Linked DNA regions of Xenopus tropicalis. The protein of the gene in region 1 interacts with the protein of each later gene in a pairwise test. Links are inferred from orthologs where the notes say so. Each region holds a gene or a part of one and is shown in the gene's direction. Other genes may lie near its edges.

The links. The genes of interacting proteins can lie anywhere in the genome.
Region 2: the proteins of glp1r (region 1) and cd81 interact in a protein complementation assay, tested with the Homo sapiens proteins (2 studies listed by BioGRID). The link is inferred for Xenopus tropicalis from reciprocal best matches to the Homo sapiens genes GLP1R and CD81.
Region 3: the proteins of glp1r (region 1) and slc15a4 interact in a protein complementation assay, tested with the Homo sapiens proteins (2 studies listed by BioGRID). The link is inferred for Xenopus tropicalis from reciprocal best matches to the Homo sapiens genes GLP1R and SLC15A4.

The regions. Positions count from the first base shown.
Region 1 is NC_030681.2:3,034,825-3,045,312, reverse strand, and holds part of glp1r (glucagon-like peptide 1 receptor), read left to right. Parts: intron 1-2,502; coding exon 2,503-2,563; intron 2,564-6,075; coding exon 6,076-6,145; intron 6,146-6,454; coding exon 6,455-6,543; intron 6,544-10,488.
Region 2 is NC_030680.2:22,303,372-22,314,615, forward strand, and holds the start of cd81 (CD81 antigen), read left to right. Parts: upstream 1-5,349; 5' UTR 5,350-5,415; coding exon 5,416-5,481; intron 5,482-11,244. UniProt on the Homo sapiens protein: Structural component of specialized membrane microdomains known as tetraspanin-enriched microdomains (TERMs), which act as platforms for receptor clustering and signaling.
Region 3 is NC_030677.2:158,918,575-158,929,790, forward strand, and holds the start of slc15a4 (solute carrier family 15 member 4), read left to right. Parts: upstream 1-5,321; 5' UTR 5,322-5,625; coding exon 5,626-6,195; intron 6,196-9,489; coding exon 9,490-9,785; intron 9,786-10,568; coding exon 10,569-10,728; intron 10,729-11,216. UniProt on the Homo sapiens protein: Proton-coupled amino-acid transporter that mediates the transmembrane transport of L-histidine and some di- and tripeptides from inside the lysosome to the cytosol, and plays a key role in innate immune response.

The DNA.
Region 1 (10,488 bases):
CTGTGTCTGTCCCTTTCCCTTCCCTGCACTGCTGGTTCTGACTCCTGATACAACTCCCCAATACCCATTCATCCCTCATTCTCACTGGGTTTATAGTTATGTGTAACTGTCACTGTGTCTGTCCCTTTCCCTTCCCTGCACTGCTGGTTCTGACTCCTGATACAACTCCCCAATACCCATTCATTCCTCATTCTCACTGGGTTTATAGTTATGTGTAACTGTCACTGTGCCTGTCCCTTTCCCTTCCCTGCACTGCTGGTTCTGACTCCTGATACAACTCCCCAATACCCATTCATCCCTCATTCTCACTGGGTTTATAGTTATGTGTAACTGTCTCTGTCTGTCTCTCACTGTCTGCCTGTGACCATTGCACTGCTGGTTCTGTCTCTTGAAACAAAAGTTCTCTCTTTCTCAGCCAATACTGTACAGCTTAGATTGTAAGCTCTCAGGGGCAGGGATGTAAGTGCTACAGTATTTGCCCCCCAGGGATGGGATGCTACATGTTGCAGTGAGACTGGGCTGTTTGCTCCCCTTCTGCCATTCGGGGGGGCATCACAGACACAAACTGCGCAGTGGGATGGGATTTGCCCGGGGGGGGGGGGGGTAGATTGGATCAGCGCTGCGTTGCGCTTTGGTACAGAGATTACTGCTGGGGAATGAGTGATGGGAGGGCTGGGGGGGCTCATTAATAGACAGAGCGGGGGGGGGGGGGGGGCAGCGCTGAGAGATTGGGGCTGTTACTATGACTGATGTTCTTCTCTCAGTAAGTAACGAGGCGCCATTACCAGCAATGAGCCCAATGTCTCCGTGGGGCGCAGTTTGCGCAGCGAGTTTCTGCCAAGTGTCGCCGGGAACCAACAGAGCGACGCCATTGGCTCCGGGAGATAAATCCACAGGCTGTAACTGTCATTTACTCTACAATTACAGGATTTCTACTGAAACACCATCGGGCTCAGAAACTGCTGGTTCCACCGGCCCATAATAGTCTGTCTGTGGGGCCTCATCCTCTAATGTTTTATATAACCGTATCCTTACTATATCTACAGATACAGCCGGGGTTATCCCCTCACTGGCCTGATACAGTGCCCCCTATGTGCCATGTATAGGTGTAGCCGGGGTTACAGTGCCCCCTATGTGCCATGTATAGGTGTAGCCGGGGTTATGGTGCCCCCTATGTGCCATCTATGGGTGTAGCTGGGGATACGGTGCCCCCTATTAGCCATCTATAGGTGTAGCCAGGCTTACGGTGCCCCCTATTAGCCATCTATAGGTGTAGCCGGGGTTATGGTGCCCCCTATTAGCCATCTATAGGTGTAGCCGGGGTTATGGTGCCCCCTATTAGCCATCTATAGGTGTAGCCGGGGTTATGGTGCCCCCTATTTGCCATCTATAGGTGTAGCCAGGCTTACGGTGCCCCCTATTAGCCATCTATAGGTGTAGCCGGGGTTATGGTGCCCCCTATTTGCCATCTATAGGTGTAGCCAGGCTTACGGTGTCCCCTATTAGCCATCTATAGGTGTAGCCGGGGTTACGGTGCCCCCTATTTGCCATCTATAGGTGTAGCCGGGGTTATGGTGCCCCCTATTTGCCATCTATAGGTGTAGCCAGGGTTACGGTGCCCCCTATGTGCCATCTATGGGTGTAGCTGGGGATACGGTGCCCCCTATTAGCCATCTATAGGTGTAGCCGGGGTTATGGTGCCCCCTATTTGCCATCTATAGGTGTAGCCAGGGTTATGGTGCCCCCTATTTGCCATCTATAGGTGTAGCCAGGGTTATGGTGCCCCCTATTTGCCATCTATAGGTGTAGCCAGGGTTACGGTGCCCCCTATTTGCCATCTATAGGTGTAGCCAGGGTTACGGTGCCCCCTATGTGCCATCTATGGGTGTAGCTGGGGATACGGTGCCCCCTATTAGCCATCTATAGGTGTAGCCAGGGTTACGGTGCCCCCTATTTGCCATCTATAGGTGTAGCCGGGGTTACGGTGCCCCCTATTTGCCATCTATAGGTGTAGCCAGGGTTACGGTGCCCCCTATTTGCCATCTATGGGTGTAGCCGGGGTTACGGTGCCCCCTATGTGCCATCTATAGGTGTAGCCAGGGTTAAGGTGCCCCCTATTTGCCATCTATAGGTGTAGCCAGGGTTAAGGTGCCCCCTATTTTCCATCTATGGGTGTAGCCGGGGTTACGGTGCCCCCTATGTGCCATCTATAGGTGTAGCTGGGGTTACAGTGCCCCCTATGTGCCATCTATAGGTGTAGCCCTCTGAGCCATTGTGTCGGGTTCTACTGTAGCCTGACAATACCGCTCAGGAGCAACCCCCTCCCTAGGAACATATTCTACCCCCGGGGCATTACTTCCTCCTGACAGCTCCGGATGTTGGGGCTCATTTGAGCAAACGTAGGAGCCTGATGGCCGTGTGTATTGTGTCCCTAGAGCTCCCAGCATGCTCGCTGCCGTACGCCTGTGACTCCTCCCTCACCGTCTCTCTCTCTCTCCCCAGGTGTGCCGGTGCTGTTTGTCGTCCCCTGGGCCATAGTCAAGTACCTGTATGAAGACAATGGGTTTGTTCCTGTTTGGTCTTTTCCTATGAGCAGATACAGCATGTTCCCTTATGTGTCTGAAAGGGTTAATACCTTCATTCACCCCCCTCTTTAGGTGCCCCCTGTAGTTACCCGGATGTAGAAAAGTGTTGGTGTTTTGGTTTTTATGTCCCAGCAGTAATAACTCTCTAATAAGCTGGTCAGCCTTGTGCCTTTATATGGGGGGCACAGAACCCCTCAGTGACTGCTAATATCCTTATCATTTACAGTAGGGGGTACATTATCCCTTATAATACATGAGTGATACTCAGAGTTCCCTGTATAACTCAGCCTGCAGCCTTGTGCCTTTATATGGGGGGCACAGAACCCCTCAGTGACTGCTAATATCCTTATCATTTACAGTAGGGGGTACATTATCCCTTATAATACATGAGTGATACTCAGAGTTCCCTGTATAACTCAGCCTGCAGCCTTGTGCCTTTATATGGGGGGCACAGAACCCCTCAGTGACTGCTAATATCCTTATCATTTACAGTAGGGGGTACATTATCCCTTATAATACATGAGTGATACTCAGAGTTCCCTGTATAACTCAGCCTGCAGCCTTGGTGCCTTTATATGGGGGGCACAGAACCCCTCAGTGACTGCTAATATCCTTATCATTTACAGTAGGGGGTACAGTATCCCTTATAATACATGAGTGATACTCAGAGTTCCCTGTATAACTCAGCCTGCAGCCTTGTGCCTTTATATGGGGGCACAGAACCCCTCAGTGACTGCTAATATCCTTATCATTTACAGTAGGGGGTACATTATCCCTTATAATACATGAGTGATACTCAGAGTTCCCTGTATAACTCAGCCTGCAGCCTTGTGCCTTTATATGGGGGGCACAGAACCCCTCAGTGACTGCTAATATCCTTATCATTTACAGTAGGGGGTACATTATCCCTTATAATACATGAGTGATACTCAGAGTTCCCTGTATAACTCAGCCTGCAGCCTTGTGCCTTTATATGGGGGGCACAGAACCCCTCAGTGACTGCTAATATCCTTATCATTTACAGTAGGGGGTACAGTATCCCTTATAATACATGAGTGATACTCAGAGTTCCCTGTATAACTCAGCCTGCAGCCTTGTGCCTTTATATGGGGGGCACAGAACCCCTCAGTGACTGCTAATATCCTTATCATTTACAGTAGGGGGTACATTATCCCTTATAATACATGAGTGATACTCAGAGTTCCCTGTATAAAGGGGTGTGGCTTACTAAGGATTAGGGTGTGGCCTAATGTGGCTGCTATATGCTGAGCCCCCCGTGGCCCTGGATTCTGAGAGGCTATTGGTTCTGCTCAGTATTTGCACCCTGTGGGACCCGAGGGGGGGAATTTATATAAATACAATTTGCATGATGTTATTGGCCCCTCCCCCCGCGTACATAAACACAATAAGGGCCTCATTAACGCTACGGCGAGATCTGTGAGTGCGCATAATTATCCCCTGACATCTCGGCGCCTCAATGCTCATTATCGTTAGGAGAGAACAAGTTCCCATTCGCTAAAGCGTGAGGCCGCCGCCCCAATACTCGGTTATTATGCGCCTAATTGGTCAACTAATCACTTAATTAGCCATTAGCGTGCGTTTGTGGTGCTCGTTTGCATAATGAAGTGTATGAATATTGACACAGGTAATTATGGGCTAATGTACTCATTCTGAGAGATTGCGTGTAATTAAAGGCAAAGTTAACCCTGCGCAGGGACGGCTCGGGGGCATCGTATAACGAGCGGCGGAGACTGACAGCTTCCTGCGCGGGATGCACGGATTAAATACGGTTTAATAAGAATGCGCTTAATAAATGATGATAATAAATTGTATCACCGGGTTCGTTAGGCGCCACGGCAACCATCCCTCGGGCTCAGAACCGCCCGCCCCCCCCCCCTGCACTCACTCACTAACTTATACTTTATTACTTCTGTTTAGGCCCTCCTCCATTCATATTCCTGTCTCTCTTTCAAACCATTGCCTGGTTGTTAGGTTAAACTGGACCCTAGCAACCAGATAGCTGCTGAAATTCCAAACTGGAGAACAAAAAGCTCAATAATTCAAAAACGGCAAATGAAGACCAATTTCAAATTGTCTCAGAACAGCATTCACTCCGTTATACTAAAGGTTCATTTAAAGGGGAACTACCCCTTTAATATAGCCCCCCCCCTTTTGTGGAAACAGAATTCTGTGCCCCCAGTGCACGGGACCCAGGGGTAGAATCTCATTTCCTTTGTTTTATTGGGAACCCATAATAATGCCAGTAGCACCCACTGCTCTGCCGCTGGCACCCTGCCACCTCCGCTTGCCCCTCCCCTTCCCAATGTTCTTACTGTGCAGCGACTGGGGGTGCTGGGGGATGCGGCTGCGCTTGTCAGATAACGAGGCGCAGGGATGGGATATTATTTGTGCTGTAATTAAGTCGCCCAGGCGCTGGCCCATTACTCACATTACTGGAACAGAACCGGCACTGACCCAATGCAGCAGCGGCAACCGGTACAGAGACGTAATAACATAACTGCCCGGCCAATGGGATCAGGGCACAGGGATTTGCACTGATCTACTCCCTGCACTGCCCTATGGGGCAAATACACAGAGACAGGGAGTGAGAGTAATGCCCCGGGCTGTACAGAGACAGGCGGGGAGTGAGAGTAATGCCCCGGGCTGTACAGAGACAGGCGGGGAGTGAGAGTAATGCCCCGGGCTGTACAGAGACAGACAGACAAGGAGTGAGAGTAATGCCCCGGGCTGTACAGAGACAGACAGACAGGGAGTGAGAGTAATGCCCCGGGCTGTACAGAGACAGACGGGGAGTGAGAGTAATGCCCCGGGCTGTACAGAGACAGACAGACAGGGAGTGAGAGTAATGCCCCGGGCTGTACAGAGACAGACGGGGAGTGAGAGTAATGCCCCGGGCTGTACAGAGACAGACGGGGAGTGAGAGTAATGCCCCGGGCTGTACAGAGACAGACGGGGAGTGAGAGTAATGCCCCGGGCTGTACAGAGACAGACGGGGAGTGAGAGTAATGCCCCGGGCTGTACAGAGACAGACGGGGAGTGAGAGTAATGCCCCGGGCTGTACAGAGACAGACGGGGAGTGAGAGTAATGCCCCGGGCTGTACAGAGACAGACGGGGAGTGAGAGTAATGCCCCGGGCTGTACAGAGACAGACGGGGAGTGAGAGTAATGCCCCGGGCTGTACAGAGACAGACGGGGAGTGAGAGTAATGCCCGGGCTGTACAGAGACAGACGGGGAGTGAGAGTAATGCCCGGGCTGTACAGAGACAGACGGGGAGTGAGAGTAATGCCCCGGGCTGTACAGAGACAGACGGGGAGTGAGAGTAATGCCCCGGGCTGTACAGAGACAGACGGGGAGTGAGAGTAATGCACAGAGACAGACAGTCAGGGAGTGAGGAATATATTGTGCCTTTATTCCCCCCCCCCCTATGACTTGGTGTGACCCAGAATGACCCATTCCCTCTCCCCCTAGCTGCTGGACACGGAATTACAATATGAATTTCTGGCTGATCATCCGGCTCCCAATCCTTATGGCCATCGGGGTAAGTTTGCTGCTTCCCAATCAATTACCCCCCTCCATCTCATCCCTCTCCCCAAGCCTGGGGGCTGCACGGCGACACCTGCTTATATGGGGCATGGAGGGGTGGGTATAGTAACTCGCACAGTGAGCTTGCACTCTATCAGCAGGTATCACTATCACTGGGCCCAGAGCCACGTTAGTCAGTCCCCAAGGTGCCAACCCCTGAGAGCTGCCCAGCAATCCTATTGGCTAATGCAAAGGAACAGTTCCCCTTTAATAGAGCTGAGAGACCCCGAGGGGGGAATATAAACTCGTTTTTTTTTCCTTTCAGGTGAATTTCGTGATCTTCATCCGAGTGATTTGCATCATCATCTCCAAGCTGCAGGCCAACCTCATGTGCAGAACCGACACCAAGTGCAGGTCAGAACCTGGCGCCTTATTGGCTGCTGCACCTTCTCTTCTACAGGCAGGAAGTGTATCTGTTATATGGGTGGGGGCTGCCATTTTGGTTTCCTTCTATCCTAGCCAGGGATTTAGGCTAGTCATGTGACCTTGCCCCTCCCAGTGCTTTAAAGTTTGGTGCCAGAACCGTCCCACGTTTACTGGTACTGGGGCAGTTGTAGAAATGACACTTTGGTTTCTCTGCCCCAATTGCCCCTATAAAGCTTGGGAGAAGCTCTCACTATTGGCGCCTGTCTCTGCCAATCTGATCACTTGTCTCATTTTTGTTGCCCTGTCCTGCTGGGTACTGACCCAACCCAGACACTGAGACTGGGTACTGAGCCCTCCATGGTGTTTGGGTCATTTTGCCTAACAAACAGCACTTTCTTTTGCTGCCCCTCCCTGGTGATGTCATGGACTGCCAGAAAGCGAGGCTGAACAGTTGCTAGACAGACAGTCCAAGTGTGATATGGAGATGTCTATGGCAGGAGAATGCAGTAAAGTGAGACCTAAGTGCTGCGCCCACAGACAAGCCATAGGGATTAAGCTAATGTTAAATGAAGGGTAGAAGTGAAGGCAGGTAAAGTGATTTATTGGGGTGAAGGAAAAGTCGGGGACCTTGTTGGTGCCTGGGGGGCCCTTGATATAAATTTCCTACTAATTTAACCCATTGGTCCCTATGGGACTATCAGTGCCCCAGTTCTACGGGGAAGAACCACTGGTCACATGGGGGTGTATAAATAATGTGGGGGGCACCATGCAACCCCCAGGGGCTCCCCAATCACATTGGGGTTACACAGGCCTTCTAAATTCTGATATTACAACATCCAAGTGTCTCCTGCCCCTCAGGCTGCTGTTAAAATCCAAGAGTGCATTATTGGGGCGCCCAATTAAGCGCAAATGGGGGGGGGGGGCAAGAAAAAGTGAATTGAGTGCAATGATTTTGGTTACACAAACAGTTGCACCTGTATCCCCCCCATCAGAGAGGGTGCTGGGAGTTCCCTGGGGGGAACAGGTGGAAATGGTGACAGGGACACACGCTAATTATTATTTAAGAACAACAGAGGGCGCTGTGTGCAGGGGAGTATCATGAACAGAACCGGTTCCGCTCACACACGGAGCCATAGAGAGCGCTTATTGGCTAGTAGCGCCGCTGCTGCCCTCCCACACACCTTCCCGCCTTTCCCATGAGCGCGCCCCCCGCCGCTTTCTACCTCAGAACTTGCAATAAAGCGAATCCGTTCCCGGCCCCCCAATATAAACCCTCAGTGGGACCAACGGGCAATGAAGTGTTTCATTTCTAAATTCACCTATATATGATCTTTAATTACGTTACAGACTGACCAATTCCAAACAGCTTTGCAGTTGGTCTTCATTTTTTTATAGTTTTAAAATGATTTGCCTTCCTCTGCCCAAACCCTATTGCTCTGTGAGGCTCCAGTTTTATTGTTACTGTTTATTCCTTATATTTCTATTCAGCCCCTCCCCTATTCATATTCCAGTCTCTCATTCAAACTACTGCCTGGTTGCTAAGGTAAATTGAACCCTGGCAACCAGATAGCTGCGAAAATTGGAGAGTTTTTGAACAAAAACTAAATTAAAAAAAAGCAAATAAAAAGAGAAGACCAATTGCAAATTACTCTCTACATCGTACTAAAACTACTGCCTGGTTTCCAAGGTAATTTGAACCCTGGCAACCAGATTGCTGCGGAAATTGGAGAGTTTCTGAACAAAAACTAAATAAAAAAAAAGCAAATAAAAAGAGAAGACCAATTGCAAATTACTCTCTACATCGTACTAAAACGACTGACTGGTTTCCAAGGTAATTTGAACCCTGGCAACCAGATAGCTGCAGAAATTGGAGAGTTTCTGAACTAAAAAAACTAAATTAGTAAAAAAAAACCACAAATAAAAAGAGAAGACCAATTGCAAATTACTCTCTACATCGTACTAAAACTACTGCCTGGTTTCCAAGGTAATTTGAACCCTGGCAACCAGATTGCTGCGGAAATTGGAGAGTTTATGAACTAAAACTAAATTAATAAAAAGAAAACCACAAATAAAACGAGAAGACCAATTGCAAATTACTCTCTACATCGTACTAAGAGTTAACTGAAAGGTGAACTACAACTTTAACCCTGTGTGAGTGGCACCTTACATAGCGGGGGCCACTGGGCCCTCAGGTTACTGAATCACACCTCGCGGATCCCCAGTTGATTTGATTCCAATTTGCTCTAATTCGCCCCGGATCCTGGCGCCGGAGGATAAAATGCAGTTTAGAGGGTTTAGAATCAATGCGAGGGTTAACTTTCCCTTTATCTGTAAAGATCTAAATATCCAAAAAGTCACCTGTATCCAAACTGCAATTTAGTGTCAACAAAATCCAAGAGTTCTACTTGCCCTTTATTGCAGATAATTAGCGCATCGTCCCCGTCACGGAAACGGTTTCTGAGCAGATAAAACATTGGGAGAATGATTAGCGGGAAGGGGGGGAGTCGGGAACCAATCCCGGGAGGGGGAGAAGCAACTCAAATGGAGGAAAATTTGATTTTTAAAGATTTAGAAAAAAATAACAGAGAACATTCTTAGAAATAAGTGAAAAAAAGGACAAAGGCGCTAAATGAGCGGATCGGTAATAATAACGATATCACAACGCCGCCAGCGGGTAAGGGGAGGGGCACGGTGGCCATGACGACAGATAAATACACAGAGGGACAAATAACCCAATTAGTGTTTTTCAGAAAAAAATATTAAATTCAGGCTGAGGCGCTGACAGACACAGACAGACAGACAGACACACACAGACAGACAGACACACACAGACAGACACACACAGACAGACACACACAGACAGACAGACAGACACAGACAGACACACACAGACAGACACACACAGACAGACACAGACACACAGACAGACACACAGACAGACAGACACAGACAGACAGACACAGACAGACAGACAGACACACACAGACAGACAGACACAGACAGACAGACACACACAGACAGACACAGACAGACAGACAGACACAGACAGACAGACAGACAGACACAGACAGACACACACAGACAGACACACACAGACAGACAGACAGACACAGACAGACACACACAGACAGACACAGACACACAGACAGACACACAGACAGACAGACACAGACAGACAGACACAGACAGACAGACACACACAGACAGACAGACACAGACAGACAGACACAGACAGACAGACACAGACAGACAGACACACACACAGACAGACACACACAGACAGACACACACAGACAGACACAGACACACACACACAGACAGACACACACAGACAGACACACACAGACACACACACACAGACAGACACAGACAGACAGACACAGACAGACAGACACAGACAGACAGACAGACACAGACAGACACACACACACAGACAGACACACAGACAGAGACAGACACACACAGACAGACAGACACACACAGACAGACAGACACACACACACAGACAGACAGACACACACAGACAGACAGACAGACACAGACAGACAGACACAGACAGACAGACAGACACACACAGACAGACACACACAGACAGACAGACACAGACAGACAGACAGACACAGACAGACAGACACACACACACAGACAGACACAGACAGACACACACAGACAGACACAGACAGACAGACACAGACAGACAGACACAGACAGACAGACACAGACAGACAGACACACACACACAGACAGACACACACAGACAGACAGACACAGACAGACAGACACACACAGACAGACACACAGACAGAGACAGACACACACAGACAGACAGACACAGACAGACAGACACAGACAGACAGACAGACACAGACAGACAGACACACACAGACAGACACAGACAGACAGACACAGACAGACACACAGAGACACACAGAC
Region 2 (11,244 bases), on another chromosome or scaffold:
GGGTTTCAGACTTGAAACAAGAGAACAGCCCTGTGTAGGAGTTTTTATATGTTCCCCCATCCCTGTTTGCATGGCTTTCCTCTAGGTACACCAGTTCACACTCTATAATAAAATACTATAATAGAAAGAAGCATAATGGCAGTGCCACAGGCGCCCAAGGCAAGGATGCCTGCTTGTCCAACACCCAACCCTGGCTGCCACCAACCTCCCACCTATAGCTTGTGTCACCAAACCCTCCTTACTCTCCCCTCCATGCAGGAGTAGGCAGCAGAGGTATGTGCCTAGGGTCCCATCATCCTAGCATCCTGTTGTGCCATAGCCACATGGCTCTGCTGCCAACCCATAGCTCTTGCCTTGCTTAATAGTTGGTTTAGGGGGGTTATGGCCAGTGATTAGGATGTTGTGGCTAGCCTGTTTGAGAGGACTGCAGCTTAGACAATCCTAAAACTGCTAGCTGAGCCAAAATATCTATAAGTTGGGGGAAAGAGCAAAACAAGCATATTAATTAAAGCAAGTAAATATACAGTACTTTGTGAAATTTCTTGAAAAAGGCAACTTGAGCATTAATCAAGCAAGAATGAAATAGGAGTGTAAGGAAATGAGTTGTTTGTTGTAATATTTTCATGTGCAGCAAATGAATACATTTAGATTTAAGTTTCAAAAGGAAAGTGGATGCTGAATGCTGCATCTGTGAGCATAAGAAGATCAAAATGTCCTGTGGGCATATTCAGTGAATCTTTAAGGGGCACTGCCCAAGTTGGTGGCTGATACTGCACTCCAGTTGCTCTTTCTGTAGGGTTGCCATCTGGCCGGTGTTTGACTGGCCTAGCCGGTAAACCCAAAAGGCCACTATTATGCACATCTTCCTATCTTCCGGTCGACAGTAGTAATAGCCAAGTACCCTGTTTTCCATCATTTTGGATTACAAAATGTATTTGTAATCCCTTTAACTGAAAAAGCCTGTTAAGGAGCCTGGATTTTTTGCAGCCAATTTATAGAAGATATAGGGATTGCGTAGTGGAAAGCAATTGGGGCCTAACAAGGCATGGCCAAAAAATTCCTTTTTCCAACAGATTGATGTTACTGTAGTAAAGCACTGTCTGCTGCTCTAATCTAAGCTTCTGCCTGGCTCATTGTTGTTAATAGTCCAATAGAGATGAAGCAAGGAGCTTTGACACCCAAGGCAGAACTGGACCCAAACCATTGCTCCCACCTTGGTTAGTGGCAGGTGCAGACCAGCTGACATGGGAGCAGCGAAGAGAGTCTGATGCCCCACAGAGAGAGTTAGTCGCCTGCGTAATATCTCGGCTATTGCGGTTGACTAGCCATTCTGAAATGCCTTTCCAGGGGCCTTTGCATTGCTTCAGTTTTCAGAAGTTGCGCGAAGTTACCTACAGGAGGAAACTTTGTGCAACATTGGAAAACCAAAGTGATGTGGGGGCTAACCACTCCAAACTGCCTTTCCACCAGCAACAATATGGGTCACTGGTGACAAGGCTATTCAGAGCAGTTAGTTGCCCATGATAGCAGATATCTCGGGCAACTAACACCCTTCGTGGGACATCAGTCTAAAAGTTGATTAAATAATGAGCTGCTAAGATAGCAGATGACTCTACTGCCTATCCCTTGTTTAGGTCTGGTTTTGGCTGGGGATAGGCCATGCTTTGCTAATGTGGCACTTGCTGTTAGGCTGTTGATATAGGCTGTTCGGCCTTGGGGGCAAATGATCGCATCAGCACCATTCGGCTAACACCTGCGTGGCCAAATCAAGCAAAGTTTTTTTTAGTTTGGTGACTGTGTCCAAACAGATCTTTGAATGTATAGCAAGTTTATGTTTTCCTCCCTTTTATCTCATCTAACAGGGCTATTAGGCTGGCCATATGCCAACAATTCACTCTTTTGCCAAGGACGTTGTGGCAGCTTGCCTGGTTGGTTGAAGACCTTTACTGGCATATCTTTGGATTTTAACCAATATGGACAGGTCCTTTTTGCATAACAAACAGAACTCAAAGTGGCCTGTGTAATTTGTTTGCTTGCATGTGAGCAAATCAGAATGGGAGACCCAACTATTTGCCCTTTCAGCCTCAAGTTTCTATAGTGTTCGGGTGCTTCTTCGCCCCCCTGAAATACACTTTCCACAGCCTTAGGCACCGCAGCCTCAGGGAAAATGGTTTGGTCCGGTCAGCTTTAGCCTGAAATCTATGAAAGTTGGGTTAAGGTGGCCATACACAGGAAGATTTGAGTCCTTCAGACCAATTTTGAATCAGCTTATCTGGCAGTGTATGGGCCCTAGGGCCAAACGATCGAATTAGCCATTATATGCTAGTTCTCAATACCCCAGCAATCCCTCTCATAAGATATCCCTCTGTATCAGTGCTCACATCCTTTCTTGATGAAATGCAAGCATTTCAGATATTTCCTCTGGTGCCTATTTTTAAGTGCGCCCAGGTCAGAGCTTTATTTCCCCCTCCTCTCTGCGCGCAGACACAAACTCACTCATTAGTTTCAGTTCTTCATTATAAAAGAAACGGATACAGACGCATTTACACCAAGGCTGACTTAATGAAACCTTGTGGCCCCGAGCCAACAAGCCAAACGAACAAATTAAATAAAAGCAGGGGTGGAAAAATTGAATTAGGCATTTAACAAATTCAGCTGCCCAACATGTTTTGCCTCAGCGTTATCCCACGCTGCACTGCTTCTCCCAGTATGCTCCCACAGCCGATGTTAGGCCGCAAGTTAAGGATATAGTTGTGGTGCTTTATACCATTGTCAATAATGGTGCTGCCAAACTATCCAACTATCTGCCATTGCAGCTAAATATATCCTATTGTAATCCTTTTCTAAATGATGGATCTTGCAAGACAAACAAATTGTGCCAAAACAATAAAAACAAGACTTTAAAAAAAAAAAAAAAAAAAAAAAGTTATTCCTGCTGCCCCATAAGGCATTCATATTCAAGTAAAAAAGAATTCTTACTTCATATCCCAAGCCAGTGATCATCTTTGGTGAAAAAACTAACCTGGAGTATCTTCTATGGGCATGCCACACTGCCAACCTGACTCCCGGGCACTCTCTTCACTGTAGCCTGAAACCTACTAGATGGCGGGGTGTTCAGGTGTACAAATTGCACCTAGATGAGGCCAAAGGAAGGTGGTGGGCCTGGACCTCTCCTGGCCCAGCCCCACCAGCAATGCCCTAGCCATCCCAGCCCTTTCTGGTGGCTGTTGGGTTTGCATCACCATTTCTGCCCCCCAGGCCCAGACTGGCAAATCCCAGAGGGGCTGCAGTAAGAGGCCATAGACAGTCACTATTTATTGGGCTTGTGGGGGCTGTTTGGGCCTCTGTGTACTTTAAATGCCAGGGCCTATTTTGAATCCCAGTCTGGACTTGTGTATAGGCCAGTGAATGAGCTAATAGGGGTGGAGTTGTAATATTATAGGGTAGAGTTGTGATGTGATATGGAGGAGCATAAATGGACAAAGTGGGTCAAATTTAATGAGTAGGAAGGGATTGAGAGCATAGAAGGGGAGGGCAAAGGGGTTATTGGGACAGGCCAGGGGCAGAACAACTATGGAAAACAAATGTATTGGATCTTGACTGCCTGCCCCCTTCCCTTGCAGCACAGGTGCCAGTTGCAGAACTAAATGGGTATATACCCCCTCAGGTCTACTGTTGGGTTTAAACGCTAGTTTCTGAAAGGGCACTGGGGGGATTTTTGTAGAGCATTTTTTTATATATATACATTGGCCCAGATACCAGTGAACTTGACTTTTCCTATCCTATCCTATGTAGACCTACACATGCATCTGATAAAATAACGTTGATGAACCACTATGAGCCCTTAAGAAACACATAACAAGTCGCCCTTAAAGAGGAAATTTTCTTAATAAAGGTAGGCAGAAATTCCAGCACAAGTACACTGTACGCCGCCCCTCAATTTAAAGGGAAATGCTGCAGTGTGCCTAAAGGAAATGGCAGGAGTTTACAGCTAGGGAAATATGTGCCTGGCCCATCTGGCAGGAAATGTACCAGAGACAAGAGACTTAAAATAAAAATCAGCCAAGCGATTTATGCTGATGTATTCCACACGTCTCCCCCAGCTCCGACACACACCCCGCACCCCTCACACTTTTATTTTAGCCTCACATACCCACTTCCCTAACAAGCATGCTACTGTTACCCCCACCCTGCCCTTTATAGTTTCCCTTCCAATTTCCCAACTGTACTTTCCATCTGTTTGGGGTTTAACCCTTTAGCAAAAGACAGAGGTCCTTTTTTTCCCCTAATTTAAACATTGCAAAAGGGAAAGCCCCTCTCTCCCGCTCCTGAACATGGGATTGTGTAAATATTAATCACACAGGCCTCTCGCTGTCAGAGGATGCTGGGAGCTGTAGTAGTGTGGCTCAAGGGCCGTGGGTAGATTGAGGGGGTTCATCAACATAAATCAATAATCGAAGACAATATATAAATAATCTAAATTCTTAATTCTCATTTTTTAAATATTTACATTTATAGTTATGTAATTCTAAAGGTGGCCATACACGCACCGATAATATCGTACGAAACCTCGTTTCGTACGATATTCGGTGCGTGTATGGTATGTCGGCGAGTCAACCGATATCGCAGGAAGCTGCTGATATTGGCCGACTCGCCGATCGGACCAGTTTGAAAATTTTGATCGGGCGCCATAGAAGGCGCCTGACCAAAATCTCCCTTCAGCGCTGAATTGGCAGAAGGAGGTAGAAATCCTATTGTTTCTACCTCCTTACCTGTCGATTCAGCCCTGAATGGTGTGCGGCGGATCTGACGATGTTTCGTGCGACCACGTGTATGGCCAGCCAAGTTCCAGCTGCTTACTGGTTGCTAAGGATTAATTGCCTTAGCAACCAAGAAGCCATCAGAAAGGAAGAGGGGAAGGTCCATAGGAACAGACCAAAATAAAAAGTGAGGTAATTACAAATACACATACAACTAATCCCTCACACTTTTTTTGTTGTTGCTGGTCTCAGACGACCAGATAGCATGTTTTGTAACAGCACAAACGTCCTTATCACCTTCCTTATTCTATATAGAGATATTTAGATGGAACTTTATCAGTTTCAACTATTTAACATGAGTTTTCTGTGGAGAAATAACAAGGAATGCTGGGAAATGGCGTTGAAAACACAGTGAGTAGTAGTGCAAGGGACACAAGCGCCTCAGGAGGATACCCCAACCCTGATAGCCATTGGCTTGTGAGGAAGCCCCCCTTCCTTAAAAGGAGGGGGGGGGGGGCAGGGGAGGGGAGTGGGCGTGGCACAGACACTGTATGGGGAGGCGGCTTGGCTGTGTCTGCACCTTGTCTCTCCGCTCTCGCATCTCTGATCCGCTTTACAGCTAATAAGGGACAGGGGAACGCTCAGCGCAGCCGCCATGGGGGTAGAAGGATGCACCAAATGCATTAAATATCTGCTCTTTGTCTTCAACTTCATCTTCTGGGTGAGTGTGCCTTATCCATTGGGTATTTGTAAGGGTACAAACGAGGGGGGCACAGGGTTCCACTGACCCCCCCCCCCCCATCGCCATTCCTACAGATCCTGAGATAGCGCTTAGGGGGGTGAGGGTTGGCTGGAACCTGGGAATCGTAGTGTTTGTGAGTTGGGAGGGGGGTGATGGGGCGGAATTATATCAGGGTGGGGAATGGATGAACCCTGTAGCACAGTGCGTTCCAGCCAGGGAAAGGGTCGCTCGGTGCCAGCCCTGCTGTTTCCCATGGATTTCAGTGTGGCTGTAATGGGAGGGGGGGGATCATTCTGTGCCCCCTCCTCTGTCCTACTCAGTAACCAACAACAGCCCCTCTGCAGGGTCTCCAACACCACGTGGTGCAGAGGGGGAATAGTGGGGGCTGCTGAGCCCAACTGGGCAGTTTAGCCCCTCCTTACCCATAGCCCCTCATGTATCACAATAACATTGCCCTATATATATATATATATATATACACCCCTGGCACAGATAGGCATCCCCAGCCACTGGCCCCCAGCATTAACAGGCGGCAACTCTCTCCTTGTGCTTTAAATTGCACTCTAGGCGGGATGCTGGGAGTTGTATTACAGAACAGCTGCCGATTGGACAGCACTGATGTTATGTACTGGGATTAAAGACTGTGGGAAAATTGCGGGGATTGCTATTGAGCAACAGGCAGGGCGCAACTGGTTGGGAGTAGCTGCCCATTGCCTTTCCCTTATTTCTTTAAAATCTTAGGCTTTATTATAATGCTATGCTGATACAGTGGGTGCATGCTAAGCAAAACTGAGGGTGATTATCATCATGCTTATTGCATGTATGTTACACACACAGTATTCACAGACAGGGCAAAGGATTACAGTGCTGTACAATAGAGCGGCGTATATATCAAACCATAACGATTATATACAAATACTGACTGTTATAGGAAGTACAGAGGGCCCTGCTCAGTAGAGTTTCCAGTCTATAAGGTGCAGGATGTATAATTGTACAACAGTTGTGACAATGGAAATGATAATACTGCGGAAACAATTTCAGTGGGCGTGTTTACACTATACTTGTGACGTACAGCGTTGTGTTTGTGCCTGTGTTGCCCCCAAAATGCATCCATCTGTTCAAAGAATTATGTATTTATGTATATAATCACATCCACAAGCCAGTTTCTCTTTATAGTGACTTTATAGTGTTTGCTTATTGGCTGCTTTGTTATATAAAGGTATGGAAAGGTTATTTTTATTTACAGCAAAAAATCCAGCCCCCAGAACTGTATGCGTTGGAAGATACAATAGAGTGCTTTAAGTGTAGAATTTCTAGTGTCAGGAGGGATTAAAATTGATGATTCCAACATGTTTGCCATCTTTAGAATAATCTGGCCATTAGAATGGGGCCCATTGGTGTATTGGAGTCAGAGGATAAGGCATTAGGGTGAAGACAGACGGGGCAATTGGTCACCGCGATTTTTAAAATTCAATCGCAGCAACTAATTGCCACCACTAATTGCCGCAACAACACGGAGGTTGGATGACTAATTAGGATTACACTGTAATGACATCATTTGGTTAAGATGTGCTTATAAAGCATTTTTCATTGGGTTATACATTCCTTACATTGTTTATTGGCCATATGTGTTTATGTGTACATGAGTGGGCGGGTTGACTATCTGCTACCACATTGCTATGCTAGGATGTAAGGCTCCCTTCCATGCATCTGTTTTGAATTAATAGTTCATAACAGCATGAAGAATGGCAGTGTGTAGAAAATGGCACCTGGGTGTAAGTTGTCCTATAATGTCCAATCAGGAGTGGGGCCCCTAAGCTCATCTCTTAGTAGAGCAACATGAGGGAAGCTTATTAATCTCCTTAATAATAGGGAGAGATGGTGCCTATAGTAACAGTGAGATAATAGCCTCTGGGAAGGGACTTTGGCTGTGGAATAGCAGGTATAGTAGGGAGAGATGGTGCCTATAGTAGCAGTGGGGGGATAATAGGCTCTGGGAAGGGACTGGGGCTGTGGGATAGCAGGTATAGTAGGGAGAGAATTTTATTAAAATATATTTAACAAATACAATAAAACAATAATTACATTTCAATCAAGCAAAAAACAAAAACCAAAAAAACATAAATCAATATTACATCAAAAACAAAACGTACTTTCCTGCAAAGCATCTTATTTCTTACAGATCATTATAAAACACATATCAAGAGGCATCTTTATGTTTCTTTTTTTGAGAATTGTCCAAACATTTCCCAGCAGACCGTTTAACCTGTACCCGCACACCTGCCCCCTGACTCTCCATCACACTTTCCTCCTCCAACTCCCCTTCCTCCAGTGACTCCTTTTCTGCCCCCTGAGACTGAAAAGCCCCTTCCCTTTTGCTCTTCTTCCTGCTGGAGATGATATCAGATGAGAGACTTTTCCTTTTCTCCCTCTCCTCCTCCTCCTCCATTCTCTCCAACTCTACCTGTTCCTCTGCTAAATCCCCCCATGACTTCCCTCCTGGCAAAACAAACCTATTTTCAGTTGGGAGGGTAATTACACCTGGGCACTGAGCCTCCTTAGCTTTATTTGATTTGCTGCCCACCACTATCCAACCATCCCCTCCGCCTCCCTCCTCTTGGGCTGCCTGTACCGCTGCCTGTGCCTTTGCCTGTTTGTTCTCCCCCTCTTTCCCTCTCACCTCTGTTGGGCGCCCCCTGTCTGTCTCTCTTGCCCCACCTGCCCTCTCCTCCCCCCTTCCCTCAGTCTGGGGCAAGTTCTCCCCTGGCATTGGGGTACTCATTACTTTTTCCAGATTGGGACAAGCCTTCCTAATGTTGCGCCAGGCGTCGGGGCAGGCCCTATAAGCATGGCCGGATTGCATACACAGGTTACACTTTATTGCTTTGACACACTCCTTGCTTGGGTGCCCAGTCTCCCCACACAAAGCACATTTCTGTATGTTGCACTTTACAGCATAATGTCTGTTGGACCCACATTTATAGCATAGCCTGGGCTGGCCCACATAGAAACAGACACCCCTTGCTTTCCCAATGAAAAAGGAATTTGGGAGATGTTTCTGAACATTCTGATCCACATGCAATTTCACTTGGACTTTATACCCCCCTACCCAGAATCCCTCCTCATCAAACACCGGCTCTAGGGGGGATAGGACAGTGCACTGGCGCCGGAGCCATATGAGGATGTCCTGCTCATGCACTGTCTCTCTCTTCATGATAATGGTGACCAGTTTGGTTTCGGGTTTGGACACAGGGATTACCCTAAACCCCTCCCATTCCTTGGCCTCTTTACTCAGATGGTACCGCCTCCAGAACTCCTCTAACCCTTGGGATAGCTTATAGCTTAAATCAAACTCTGTGTCTGTGACACTCAGCAAGGCATAAACGTCCTGTGGGGTAAAACCCAGCAACTGTTTAATAATGTTTCTGCCCACAAACCTGCGCCCCGGGAAATCCTCCCTCTCTTTCTCCCACTTAATTTTCACAACATTTTTCCTCTTATCAAACTCATCATCAAACTCCTCATCCTGCTCACGTGCAAAGAATCTCCTTCCCTCCCAAAACACTGCCCCCCGCAGCCCCAGCAACACTCTCAGTCCCCCCATGCACATTGCTTTCCCAGCAGAATAAACGACATTTTTTCCTTCCCCTCCCCCCTCACTCACACACATTGCATTACCTGCAATCACCTGCACCTCAGCTGCACCACTCCCAGCCACTTGCACCTCAGCTGCCCCAGCACTCACTGCCCCTCCCCCCTCACTCACACACATTGCATTACCTGCAATCACCTGCACCTCAGCTGCCACCACTCTCAGCTGCTTGCCCCACACTGCCCCCAGCACTCACCCCACTAACGGCAGCTGCACACACACTATCAGTATGGGAAAGACCGTTACTATGCACAATGTTAGTAGCAACGCTACATTCAGTAAAAGTTTTTGAAACTTCAGTCTCTTTGAGCAGTTCAGCAACTTTAGCAGTCTCTCAGCAGTCACATTGCCCCTCTTTCATCTGCTCAAATCTCTGTTTGTTGTCATACAGTTCCTTCCATGGCTCTATAACAGCCAAAATGTCTTTAATGTTAATTTCAGTCTCTTCCAGCTCCTTATTGTGGAAAGCCAACTCCCTGATGTACTGAGTTCTCCTCTCTCCTCTCAGCAACTTCTGATTTTTTATCAGTCTGTCAATGTCTCTGTTTAAATTGTTTTGCTTCTCCTCCAAACACCGCAGCTCCTTCAAAGCATTAATTATTGTATCATACTGTATTACAGTCTCAGTACCTTTGTGCACTTCCCCAGCCTTCCCCAGGGGCCCGGCAGCCATTACCTGCTCACTCTCCAGGGCCACACGGCTTCCATGCACCTCACAAGCAGCAGCCATTTCCTGGTCACTCCGAGCGCTTTCTGCAACTTTTAGGGCCACACAGCTTCCATGTTCCTCACAGGCAGCAGCCATTTCCTGGTTGGTCAGAGCACTTTCTGCAACTTCCAGGGCCACATGGCTTCCAAGCTCCTCACTGCCAGCAGCCATTTTGCAGTCATCAGACTCTCCTCTCACCTCCTGGTCTGCCTCTGTTGTAGCTCCGCAGCTCCCTGCAGTTACTCCAACACCGGCGCCCAGGTCCTCAGAGTCACTCTCCATGCCGCTTTGGGAACAGGTTTTGCTTTTCTTTTCCTTCCCTTTAAGAGAGCAGGAAACATTGCCCTCTGCAGTGCGCTCCACTGTCACCACAATGTTGGACCCAGTGGCCTTCTTGCTGCTTCTCAAACGGGTTTTCACTACCCGGCTAAACGGTTTAATCGCTTTCTTCCCCATTGAGTAGGGAAAAACAGCAAAAAACAAAGAAAAAATACCCACAAAAACTAACCCCCAGACCCAGCCGGGCCTGGGAGAAAGTCACAACTCCACAGAGCACTCAGAGCACCTCCACTCAGTAGCAACAGCAATGAGCAAATGGCCTCTGGGAAGGGGGTGTGGCTGTGGGATAGCAGGTATAGTAGGGAGAGATGGTGCCTATAGTAGCAGTGGGATAATAGCCTCTGGGAAGGGACTGTGGCTGTGGGATAGCAGGTATAGTAGGGAGAGATGGTGCCTATTGTAGCAGTGGGGGGATAATAGCCTCTGGGAAGGGACTGGGGCTGTGGGATAGCAGGTATAGTAGGGAGAGATGGTGCCTATAGTAGCAGTGGGGATAATAGCCTCTGGGAAGGGACTGGGGCTGTGGGATAGCAGGTATAGTAGGGAGAGATGGTGCCTATAGTAGCAGTGGGGATAATAGCCCCTGGGAAGGGACTGTGGCTGTGGGATAGCAGGTATAGTAGGGAGAGATGGTGCCTATAGTAGCAGTGGGGGGATAATAGCCTCTGGGAAGGGACTGTGGCTGTGGAATAGCAGGTATAGTAGGGAGAGATGGTGCCTATAGTAGCAGTGGGGGGATAATAGCCTCTGGGAAGGGACTGGGGCTGTGGGATAGCAGCTATAGTAGGGAGAGACGGTGCCTATAGTAGCAGTGGGAGGATAATAGCCTCTGGGAAGGGACTGGGGCTGTGGGATAGCAGGTATAGTAGGGAGAGATGGTGCCTATAGTAGCAGTGGGGGGATAATAGCCTCTGGGAAGGGACTGGGGCTGTGGGATAGCAGGTATAGTAGGGTGAGATGGTATTGTCGACATTGTTTGTATATATAAGGGATGCTCCTGCTGAATCTGGCTGTGTGTGCAGCATTAGGACTAGGCAATGAG
Region 3 (11,216 bases), on another chromosome or scaffold:
CCTAGATCCTTCTCCATTAAGGATGCCCCCAACACACTACCATTCAGTAGATAGTTTGCGTTTATATTATTCCTACCAAAGTGCATAACTTTGCACTTGTCAACATTGAACCTCATTTTCCAGTTTGCTGCCCAGTTTTCCAATTTTGTCAAATCGCTCTGCAAAGCGGCAGCATCCTGCATGGAACTTATAGTTTTGCACAATTTAGTGTCATCAGCAAAAATAGAAACAGTACTCTCTATGCCCACCTCCAGGTCATTAATAAACAAGTTAAAAAGCAAAGGACCAAGGACTGACCCCTGCGGTACTCCACTAACCACACTGGCCCAATTAGAAAATGTTCCATTTACCACCACTCTTTGTACTCTATCCTTCAGCCAGTTTTCTATCCAATTACAAATATTATGTTCTAGGCCAATATTCCTCAATTTGATCATTAACCTTCTGTGCGGTACTGTATCAAACGCTTTAGCAAAATCTAAGTAGATGACATCAACTGCCATTCCAGCATCAAGGTTCCTGCTCACCTCCTCATAAAAGGCAACTAAATTAGTCTGGCAAGATCTGTTACGCATAAAACCATGCTGGCACAAACTAATAGTATTGTGAACTGCAATGTATTCAACTATCCTATCCCTTATTACCCCTTCCAGAAGCTTTCCTACTACTGATGTCAGACTAACAGGCCTATAGTTTTCAGGCTGAGAACGAGATCCCTTTTTAAATAACGGCACCACATTAGCAATCCGCCAGTCTCTCGGCACCATGCCAAACCTCAATGAATCCTGAAAAATTATGTGAAGAGGCTTGGCAATCACAGCGCTCAGCTCATTTAATACCCTGGGATGAATCCCATCCGGTCCTGGACCTTTGTTTACCTTTACATGTTCAAGTCTCTTTTGAATTTCCTCCTGAGTGACCCATGCGCCAGTAGCTAAATTACTAGCACTGGGTATATTAAAAGGGAAGCCTTCATTATCTGGCTCCTCAGATGTATAGACAGATGAAAAATAAGAGTTCAAGATTTCAGCTTTTTCTCCGTTCTCATCAACCAACTTACCTCCCCGTGATAATAAAGTTCCCACCCCTTCTTGCTTCATTTTTTTACTATTCACATAATTAAAAAATAATTTTGGATTCTTTTTACTCCTAGCTGCAATATCCCTTTCCATCTCTATTTTAGCTTGCCTGATAGCTTTTTTGCATGCTTTATTTGCTTCCTTGTACCTGATGAAAGTTTCCGCTGTCCCAGCTAACTTGAATGCTTTAAAAGCACGTTTTTTATTACCAACCTCGACCCTAACTCTTTTATTCAGCCGTAAGGGTTTTGCTTTGCGATGCCTCTCCTTGCTTACAAGGGGAATATACTGTTGTGTATACCTGCAAAGCAATGTTTTAAAGATGTTCCATTTTCCTTCTGTGTCTAACCCCATGAAAAGCCTTTCCCAGTTGACACATTGCAGAGATGCCCTTAAACTGGCAAAGTCTGCACGTCTAATATAACGTGTTATAGGCACGAAAAGGACAAGACTGGCACACCTCTTATTATTAAAATATAACTTTTACTTTTAATTTTAATTAAATACTTAAAATGGATAGGAAAGTGAAGAAAAGTTTAAAATGTTCGAAATCACACCTTGAAACTGTTTCAATTCTAGCTCTTACCCTCCTGGATATTGTTACTTATAAAGTATCTTTTTCTGTTGTGATTAGTTTCATTTGTATCAACAATATAAATGGTCTGCACAGTGTGACTTGCAAGAGAAATCGTAATTCATTCATCCAGGTAAGTACTAAAAACTCTTACATGGGAGATTTGAAAATAATTACACCATCCGTATAATAAACTTTTATTCACCATTCGTGTATCATGTCTTTATTTCATCGATATTTGTTTTCTACAGAGAAACAAGTGGATATTACACTTTAAACACGGGTAAGTATCGTTATGGTGCTCATGCACAGATTTAATCTCCTAACTGTTAATTCACTCTACTGATTCCTAGTGCTTCACCGAATATTGCTAAGGTTGACCCACAGTTCACCAGTATTCGATTTCCAGGATCATGTATATCTGGTCTTAATATAGTCCAGAAACGTATAAAACCCTTGTGGTTAATGTCCAATATCAAATTGGCACAGAATTATTTATAACATAATATTTGCAAGTCCCCTTTTTTTCTTTGCTCGAGGCAGAACAATTGTTAATTAGGGCCTGTTGTTTGGCTCAGCGGGATAACAATCACTAATTATGCTATCCTTTATGGCATACATTTAGCCATAAATTAATAATAACTTCGGTAATCTATTTTACCTATCAGAGAAAGGGTAAGCTTATCCAATCATTACAGCTTCCGCACTTTCCTTCAAAAGTCAAAATCGCTAGTTATACTAGCACTATTAATAGCCATTAATCAATGATTTTGTCTCTGTCCTTACTGCAGAGCGGGCAGAGGATACAAATTGTAATTGCTTACGGCTTGTCAATGTTCACATTGGTTACACACGATCAGTAATCACATTGGAACTTAATTTGTATAAAATGCTCAACATAATACATATAGAAGTAACGTTCGCATTTACTACTTCGACATCAGAGAACCGCTCGATGTGATCACATTGGGACTTAATTTATCTCAAATGCTCAGCATAGTGCATATAGAAGTAACGTTCGCATTTACTACTTCGGCATCAGAGAACTGCTCGGTGTGACCCTGAACGCTATTCCGCTTTTGCTTAATTGTTAGCTGGTATAACATGTGCCGGTGTTAGTAGTTTGCTTATGCGGCGCGTGAATTGCATTCACCTTGCTAATTCACCACAATACGATATTATCCTGACTAATACGATTTTTTCGTAAGCATTTTCGTAATATTTGCGATCTTCAGAAATTTTCGTTTCCAATCCGAATTTTTCCCATTCGGGATTTGAACTCGTGTTTTGATAAATCTGCCCCTACGACTGACCCTTGGGGCACCCCAAAAGAGAGATTAACAGGTGAATAGGTCTTGTTAAGATAGCCATACACTTTCAGATTTTAGTTTTCTTCCGATGAATGTTCACATATCGGTTGTAAATTTAAATACAACGATCTGTCCTGGCTATCAGCACTGCTACCACCACTTTGACTTGCTACACCCAATCAAACCTGCAGTTTGGCTGCTCATGTGAGCAGTAACAGGCAGATGCTATTTAAGGGCTCGTCCATACGGGAATTTCACCTTGTGCCCCGTAAAAAATAATGGATTGCGTTTGGCCTTGTGCTCCCCTGCAATGGAACAGGAGAACTCCACTGCAGGGGAATGTAGGACAAAGCGCTTGTGTGTTCGGGCCGAGTCATTTAGAACAATCACATGTAGTTTGGAGTGGTAATGGTGTGACATTGTGCCATTTTCAGCAGCAGGTCACTGGGCTATATGATGCTGCCAGTAATTCTGTACTAGGTAAATTAATGCTATGAGCCTATAGACATTAAAATGTAATTTCAAAGTGGGAACTATGCAAAGTGTCATATTCACAAAACAAACATGAAAAAAATCACATGTATAATGGCCAGGTTGTAGCAAAGTACCAGTATCTGACACACATCCTATCATTCATGAATATATGAAGTCATGCACTGTGCTTAGATGTAACAAAAATATGGCAGTATGAGTATGAACCATACCTCCCAACATTTTGAACACAGAAACAGGGACAAAAACAAATGGCGCACCCAAATTTTTGGCCACGCCCGTTTTTGTGACCACACCCCCCTAAATACCACTCCCATTTGACTACATTTGTCAGGTTATTTAAAGTTTGAACACATTTCTGGGGGTTTTGGGGTCCTGTTTTATGTGTTATTACAGTTTTGCTGAAAAGGTGAAATTGCCCTTTAAGCCGCAAGTCTCAAGAGACCTGTTCAGCTTATTAGTTACAATTGTATCTCAGTGCAGGTGACGCTAGTAAAGATTTCTGGGCTCTCTGCCAAAAAGGTACTTTTAATTAAATTTGTATCTTTTTTAGCTTTAGTGCAGGAGATCAAAGGGAAATCAGGGACTTTTCAGTAAGAATCCGGGACTTCGGGTTGAGCTGTCAAAAGAGGTACTGTCCCGCGAAAATCAGGACAGTTGGGAGGTATGATGAACACTTAAGGTATCCGAGAATCACCTTTTATTCAGAACTAATGGGGCTGCCTAGCAATATAAAGAAGCCACTATAAGAAAAATCAACCCCAAAGCAGGAAATCTGAATAAAAACACACATTATTAGTTTATAAGAAGAACAACTTAAAAAACCTACAAAATCTTTTGCGAGTCATCAAAAGTGGTCACTGTGAATAGTGAAAAAATTAGATGCACCACTCTGCTCTCCAACTTGTATAACTCCTGGATACGGGGTGGGGTAGGGGTTGTAGCTGCACCTGGGCCTAGCCCAGAGCTGTCAACCAGCCCCATGTCATGAGGGAGATATTGATCCAGTCCTGTTTGTTTTTTAGGCCTGATTTCCTCTTTACACTAAATAACATAAATTAAGCTCTCAAAAAGGTCTGGGGTTGATCATTATCTCCCTCATGACATTGGGCTAATTTACAGCTCCGCTAGCCCCACATGGGACTTGCAGTGCCCGAAACACCTAGCTGGTATTTTATTGATATGGGCAGGAAAAATAATGTTCTATGTCAATATTATGAATTGGTAGGGAGTAAGTGCAGGACCCCACCTTCATGTGCCAACACTACTTAACTTTCTGTCTAAATGACACGCAATTTAGGTGCTAGGTGGGGGTCATGCTTCTCTGCCTGGTGGTGGGGCTTACATGCTTCCCCACCTCTCATGGATACAGCCAGTGTCGGACTGGCCCACAGAGATACCAGGAAAACTCCAGGTGAGCCCAGGTGTCAGTGGGCCCTCCTGCTTCTAGCCATTTGGCCTAATTCATGGTCATCACTTATTTTTGGGACCAAACCAACTAAATATATAGAAGAATAGATTATAGTATGCAAAGATGCAAAAAAAACTAGGACAATATAGAGACTATTAAGAAGTGGATGAAAAATAGTTTGGGAGTGGGCCCATGGTCCAAGGTTTTCTGGTGGGCCCTTGGCATCCCAGTCTGACAGTGGATACAGCACTCCCAAATGCAGGCAGGGTTGTATTCACAGGGGCGGCTGAAGGTCTCTGTGCTAAAAAGAGCAGGGACAGGGACCTGCAACAATTAAAGTAATCAGAACAGCAATGTGCGAAGCGAGGGAGGATGGGATGAATTGCAATTCACACAAGTACTACAGCTGACCCCAGTATACCTATTTATTTTGTAATGTTGTGGACACTGTGTGAAGGCTAGCTAGTGTATCCAATAGGTGGCAGAGTTACAGTTGTTGTACTTAGTGACAACCAATCACCTCTCGGTACCGGCTGAAGTAGGCGGGCTCCCGAAGGAGTCACGAGTTAGTGGAAGAAGTATTGGCCGGCTAGGTACGTACAGCTTTGGATCAGCGGGATCGCTTCCGTATTCTGCCCATTGCCTAACCGGGTCTGTCCTTCTGCCAGTGAGTCCCGTTCCGGAGAGCTCCTAATCTGAGTCTGCATGTTACCCCGGGCGTGGTGAGCGTTCTCCTGTCCTCAGCCCCTGTGTGCAGAGATGGCAAGCCGTGATCCCAGCGAGAGGAGCCCGCTCCTGGGCGGCCGCTCTGAGCCCCCTGTCCCTCCTGGCTCCGTGTTCGCCGGTCGGGGCCTGGCCTGCGCCGCCGTGCTGCTTTCGGAGCTCTTGGAGCGGGTGGCCTTCTACGGCATCACTTCCAACCTCGTCCTTTTCCTCAATGGGCAGATCTTCGGGTGGGAAGGGACCCAGGCCAGCCAGGCTCTCTTACTGTTTATGGGGATCACTTACCTGGTGTCGCCCTTTGCTGGCTGGCTGGCAGATGCCCTGTTAGGGCGCTTCTTCATCATTCTCGGCAGCATGGTGCTGTACCTGCTGGGCATGCTGCTTTTCCCTATGATCTCCTATTCGGGGACCCGCACTGCTTTCTGTGGGGACATTCCGTGGGCTCGTATAGATAACTGTAGCAGGAGCAACACCTCTAGCAGCCCCGATACCTGCCTGGATCCGAGCCGGAGATACTGCGCCCCGGCGGTCTTCCTAGGGCTCATCATTGTGGGGCTGGGAGTGGGCTCGGTGAAGGCCAATATCACACCGTTTGGAGCTGATCAGGTATAGTCTTTATTATTAACCATCTTGCACGTTCTTTTCTGGCCTTGTCTGTTCTTGTTTTTTTTATATTTAATGTTGCACTACATTTCCCAGCATGCACAAAGCTTTAGAGAGCTGTAGTTTCGCACTAACAGGCAAAGGACCTAGTTTAACATCTCATTCTAATGGTGGAGATAAAAAGTATCTTAAGGGTACAGTGGTTATTTGTAAAAGTGCCTGCTGGTACATGCCATTTTAGATGGTAGCACTTAAGTCATTGCTTCAAACAGTTTAACGGCAGGCCTGGCACCAGTAATTCAAGTACACAGATGCCCAAAAAGCCCCCTCCAGTCCAAAAAAAAGTTACTGTCTATGGCAACTAATAGCAGCCCCTAAGGCATTTGCCAGAATCCACAGGTTGCCAGCCCAGCCTGTATTAGGGTGAAGACACACAGAGCTACTAGTAGCAGTTACTAGTCGTTGCTACTAAAATAGACAATGCTGATCATTAACTGATAACTGTCTCTACATGTGTTTTAGCAGAGGCAATTTTCAGAATTGTCTATGGCAGGGTATTTTCTGGAGTTTAGTAGCCGTGAAAAAGTAGCTGCTACCAGTAGCCCTGTGTGTCTTCACCCTAAGGGCTCTGGCACACGGGGAGATTAGTCGCCCGTGACAAAACTCCCTGTTCGCGGGCGACTAATCTCCCCGAGTTGCCTTCCCCTGCTTGTAAGTCGCCGGCGGGATGGCACACGCGGCGGCGCGATTTCCCGAAATCGACGAAAAAGACTCGCGATGAGTCTTAGTCGCCCGCGAACAGGGAGTTTTGTCACGGGCGACTAATCTCCCTGTGTGCCAGAGCCCTAAAGAGCAAATAAAGTTGGTATTCTTACAGTGCCTTTCATGGCATAGAGCTGCTTTACCAAGTGCCAAAAGTATGAGCCTATAAGTATAGAAAGCTGGCCACACCACTCAACCAACTCTGACCTCTTCCACCACATTATTCTGCATTGGCACTTTCTCCATGTCTTCCTTCATGGCCAGGAGAGAAAGGTGATGCACATGTGCAATACTGGCCGGCACTCCAGACTGGGCACCTGGCATATAATGTGCCACAGCAATACTTATTAAACTCTAAAGGTAATTTTAAGGGATGGGGTGAGCTCTCTGCCTTAAGTGGCACTAAGCTGCTGCCTGTGACAAGAGGCACTATTCCATGCCAACAACCGACGTATTCCGCTTTCTCATAGACTGTTGTTTCCTTTACAGCCAGTACTTAGGTCTATGTGAAAACTAAGGAAAAACTCCTTTAGTGAAGTAGGCTGTAAGTGACCTCTACCCTCAAAGTTAATAGATCTATAAACAGTTCTACAATGGTATTTCATTTGTCCACATTGCAATAATGGGGGCAGTTCAAGGCCAGAAAAACATTATACCTAACAACCTAAAGGGATAGCAAATAATGTAGCAGTGCTGGGATGGCACTTTATTTTTATAAAGCATTGTGTTTTAGAGCAGTGGTTCTCAACCTTCTTAATGCGACCCTTTAATACAGTTCCTCATGTTGTGGTTACCCCCAACCATAAAATTATTCCTAACACCATCAGAAATATGTGTTTTCCGATGGTCTTAGGCGACTCCTGTGAAAGGGTCATTCGACCCACAGGTTGAGAACCGCTGTTTTAGAGATTAGCCAAAAATACAATATCATGCCTCCTTTCTAGGCCAATAAAATACTGACACCCGACCTTCATAAACTGATCTATGCAGTAACATCGGCAATCCCCCTAGTCAATAAACACAAGGAAGGCCTAGACTGGTGATCTGTGGATTGTGGCAAATGTCAGAAGGGCTTATGTAAAATGCCATAAACAGTCGCTATGTAATGGGCTGGTGTGGGGTTGTTTGGGCCTCTGTGTACTTGAAATGCCAGGGCTTATTTTAAATTCCAGTCCAGGCCTGCTACCCACTATTCTCTTGGAACAGTATAGTGCAGTTTAAATGTTGAGTGGAATTGGATCAGTGGTCTTGGGGAGTTACTGTAGAGTGGGACAGTCTCTACCTATAGTCCTACATAAGGCCCAAAGTGTTCCTTGCTGCTGGATGGCACCAGGCCCTGCTCACTGGGCTTACCTTCATTCACATATTTAGTGAATGCTTTGTGGTACAGTTTGTGGCACAAAGCCATTTAGTGAATGGGCTGGGGGTAATGTTTAGGCAGGCTGCTCACACAGCATCTCCATCCCTGCTGGAGCAGATTACACAGCCACAGGGGACATTGTTTGGATCTTTTTACCTGTACTTATCTTATGTGGAAAAAAGAAAGAAACATGTTATGTATGGTTCCCCCTCTGAACTTTTTTGAACCCTGGATATATGTATGGGATAAAGCCACACTGCTGTATTACCATAGCACATGATAGTGACTAAGGGATTTCAGTCATGAGATGCTGTACTAATTTGGTGTCTGTTAGTTATGAAAGGGTAGCTATTCACTGTGAATGCTATTTTTAGTTGTCTCTTTTCTTAATTTTTATTTTAGGTCAGTAATGATTTTGTTTAGTATATTACAATATGTTTCATTGAGTCAGAATTTCCATTTTACAGAGGAAAATAACACACAATATCATTATTTCATCCCATCACAAATAACAGATGACACAATAGGGAAATATGGCAAATTCTGGGGCGACAAAGAAGACTAAATAGAGCAAGTAGGGGGGAGTTTTTAAATGAAGTATCCTAAGTAAATAATAGCATTGCATGTTATAGAAATTCTTCCGTATCTTGCTTTGTGGGGTCAGCTGGAGCAGAACTTGTTGGGTTGCGCTGTCCATCAGTGGTTTTAAGCAACTGTAACACCAAAAAACGAAAGTGTATTAAAGTAATTAAAATATAATGAACTGGTAAAAGCTTTAGAAACACTACTACAGTTTATTTAAACAAAGCTGCTGTGTAACCATGGGGGCAGCCATATATATTGAAATAGGGCTAAATGGCATAGGTTACATAGCAGATAACAAATAAGTGCTGTAAAACATCATTGTATTCTACAGAGCTTATCTGTTATCTCCTATGTAACCTGTGACTTTTCTCCCTTTTTCCAACTTAAATAGCTACCCCCAAGGCTACTCAGCAGCTTATTTTTATAAACTATATTAGTGTTTCTGAAGCAAGCAGTTTCAGCAGTGCAGGTCAGCAGTACATTATATTTTTATCACTTGTTTTTTGGTGTTCCTTTAAGGAGAGCCCCCTTTTTTTAACCTTGATTATTTTTTGATTGTTTGTTTATGTGATGGGTTATCTTTTCTATAGGTGAAAGACCGAGGACCAGAAGCAACACGGAGATTTTTCAACTGGTTCTACTGGAGTATTAACCTGGGTGCCATTATATCTCTTGGCGGAATTGCATATGTCCAGCAGAATGTAGATTTCCTCACTGGATACATCATTCCAACAGTGTGTATCGGTGTTTCCTTTTTAGTTTTTTTATGTGGAAAAACGGTGTTTGTTACCAAACCAGCCGATGGCAGTGCCTTCACTGATATGGTCAAGATTCTGGCCTACTCCTGCTGCGCACGGAAGCATAGAAGAGAAAACACTAGACACGTGTATGTAAGAGCTGGATATTGTATTTTTTAAGTTTCAATTTTACAGAAAAAAAAAATGTGAGTAGTCATTACTGAAAAATCAATACAGGGAAGTGAATCACCCTTCCAGGTTCCCCCAGAACATCAATGTGGATAATTGTATAGTAACCAAGTCAGTTTTACTACAACAGTGCATGTGTATAAGCAATGTGCTTGTGGCGCATGCGTCCAAATTTCCCCCTAGTATCTCACATGGTCGGTCTGCTTCTTTATGCCTGAGGCTAAGCTAAATTAAGGAAGTGCTGCAGAACATTAATATAATGGTTTCAGCTATGACTAAAGTCCTTTTTATAAGTAAAGGGAGAATGGTTGGTCAGTTTCTTATCTGATTAAACATCAGATCTGTTTAGAATAAAACATTTTAAAATCCACACTTTGCAGTGATTTGGTTAAAGCAAAGATGTTCTCATCCCCAGGATAAAATATATTTTGCCTGTAGCTTAGAGTACCACTTTGTTCCTTTAAAGGAAAATAACCCCCCTATCCCCCCCCCCCCCTTACCTGATCTTTAAAAGGAGAATTATGCAGATAGTTGTCTTTTTTCCAGTCGTCTTTAGCATCAACTTACACTTGACACCACAGTGCATTTTTTTCTGGGGAAAAAAGTGCCTAAAACATTGGCACTCCAACCCTTCCCCCAATAAATTTAGCTTTTCTGTAGATTGGTAAAAATTGGATATTTTTAAAATATAAAACTGCATGTTTAGATATTTTAACATATATATATTTAATATCTCTCAACAGCCAGAATAATCAACAAAGGCATAAACAAAGCAGGTTGGATTTTGCAAAGGCTTCGCGTGGTGGACCATTTAGGGAAGATAAAGTAGAAGATGTCAAATCCCTTGTAAAAATTATCCCAGTATTCTTGGCACTTATTCCATATTGGACTGTGTATTTTCAGGTTTGTTTTTCTATTTAAACATAGCATTTGCAATGACAACGGGGGAAGAGAAAGCATGCTGTTCAAATCTCTTACCACAAGGCACTTCATTCCTGTATATTTATTTATTTATTACAGTGTTGTATAGCACTGTGTATCTTAGTAGCGCTATATAAAGTTATACATACGCAAATGTTTGCCTTAGGCCTATTGAACGTAATGGTTTGTCCACTATTGATTTCAGCCAGATTGCAGCGGCAGACTATGTTCTATAGTCTTTAGGATCAAAAAGTATCCTGTGGTCATGAGCCTTCAGCTACCAATAGTACATTTTATTTAATAGGATTTTATTGTCTACAGAAATAGTTAATTACAATAGATCAACATGTATGAAACGTATGGTATTTTCCATGAAGCTCATATTCTGGGGCATATGGGGAGTCAGTAAAATGGCTAAAAAACCCCAGTCCACTTGTCACTGTTTCCCACAGAACTATAGTAAATGCATT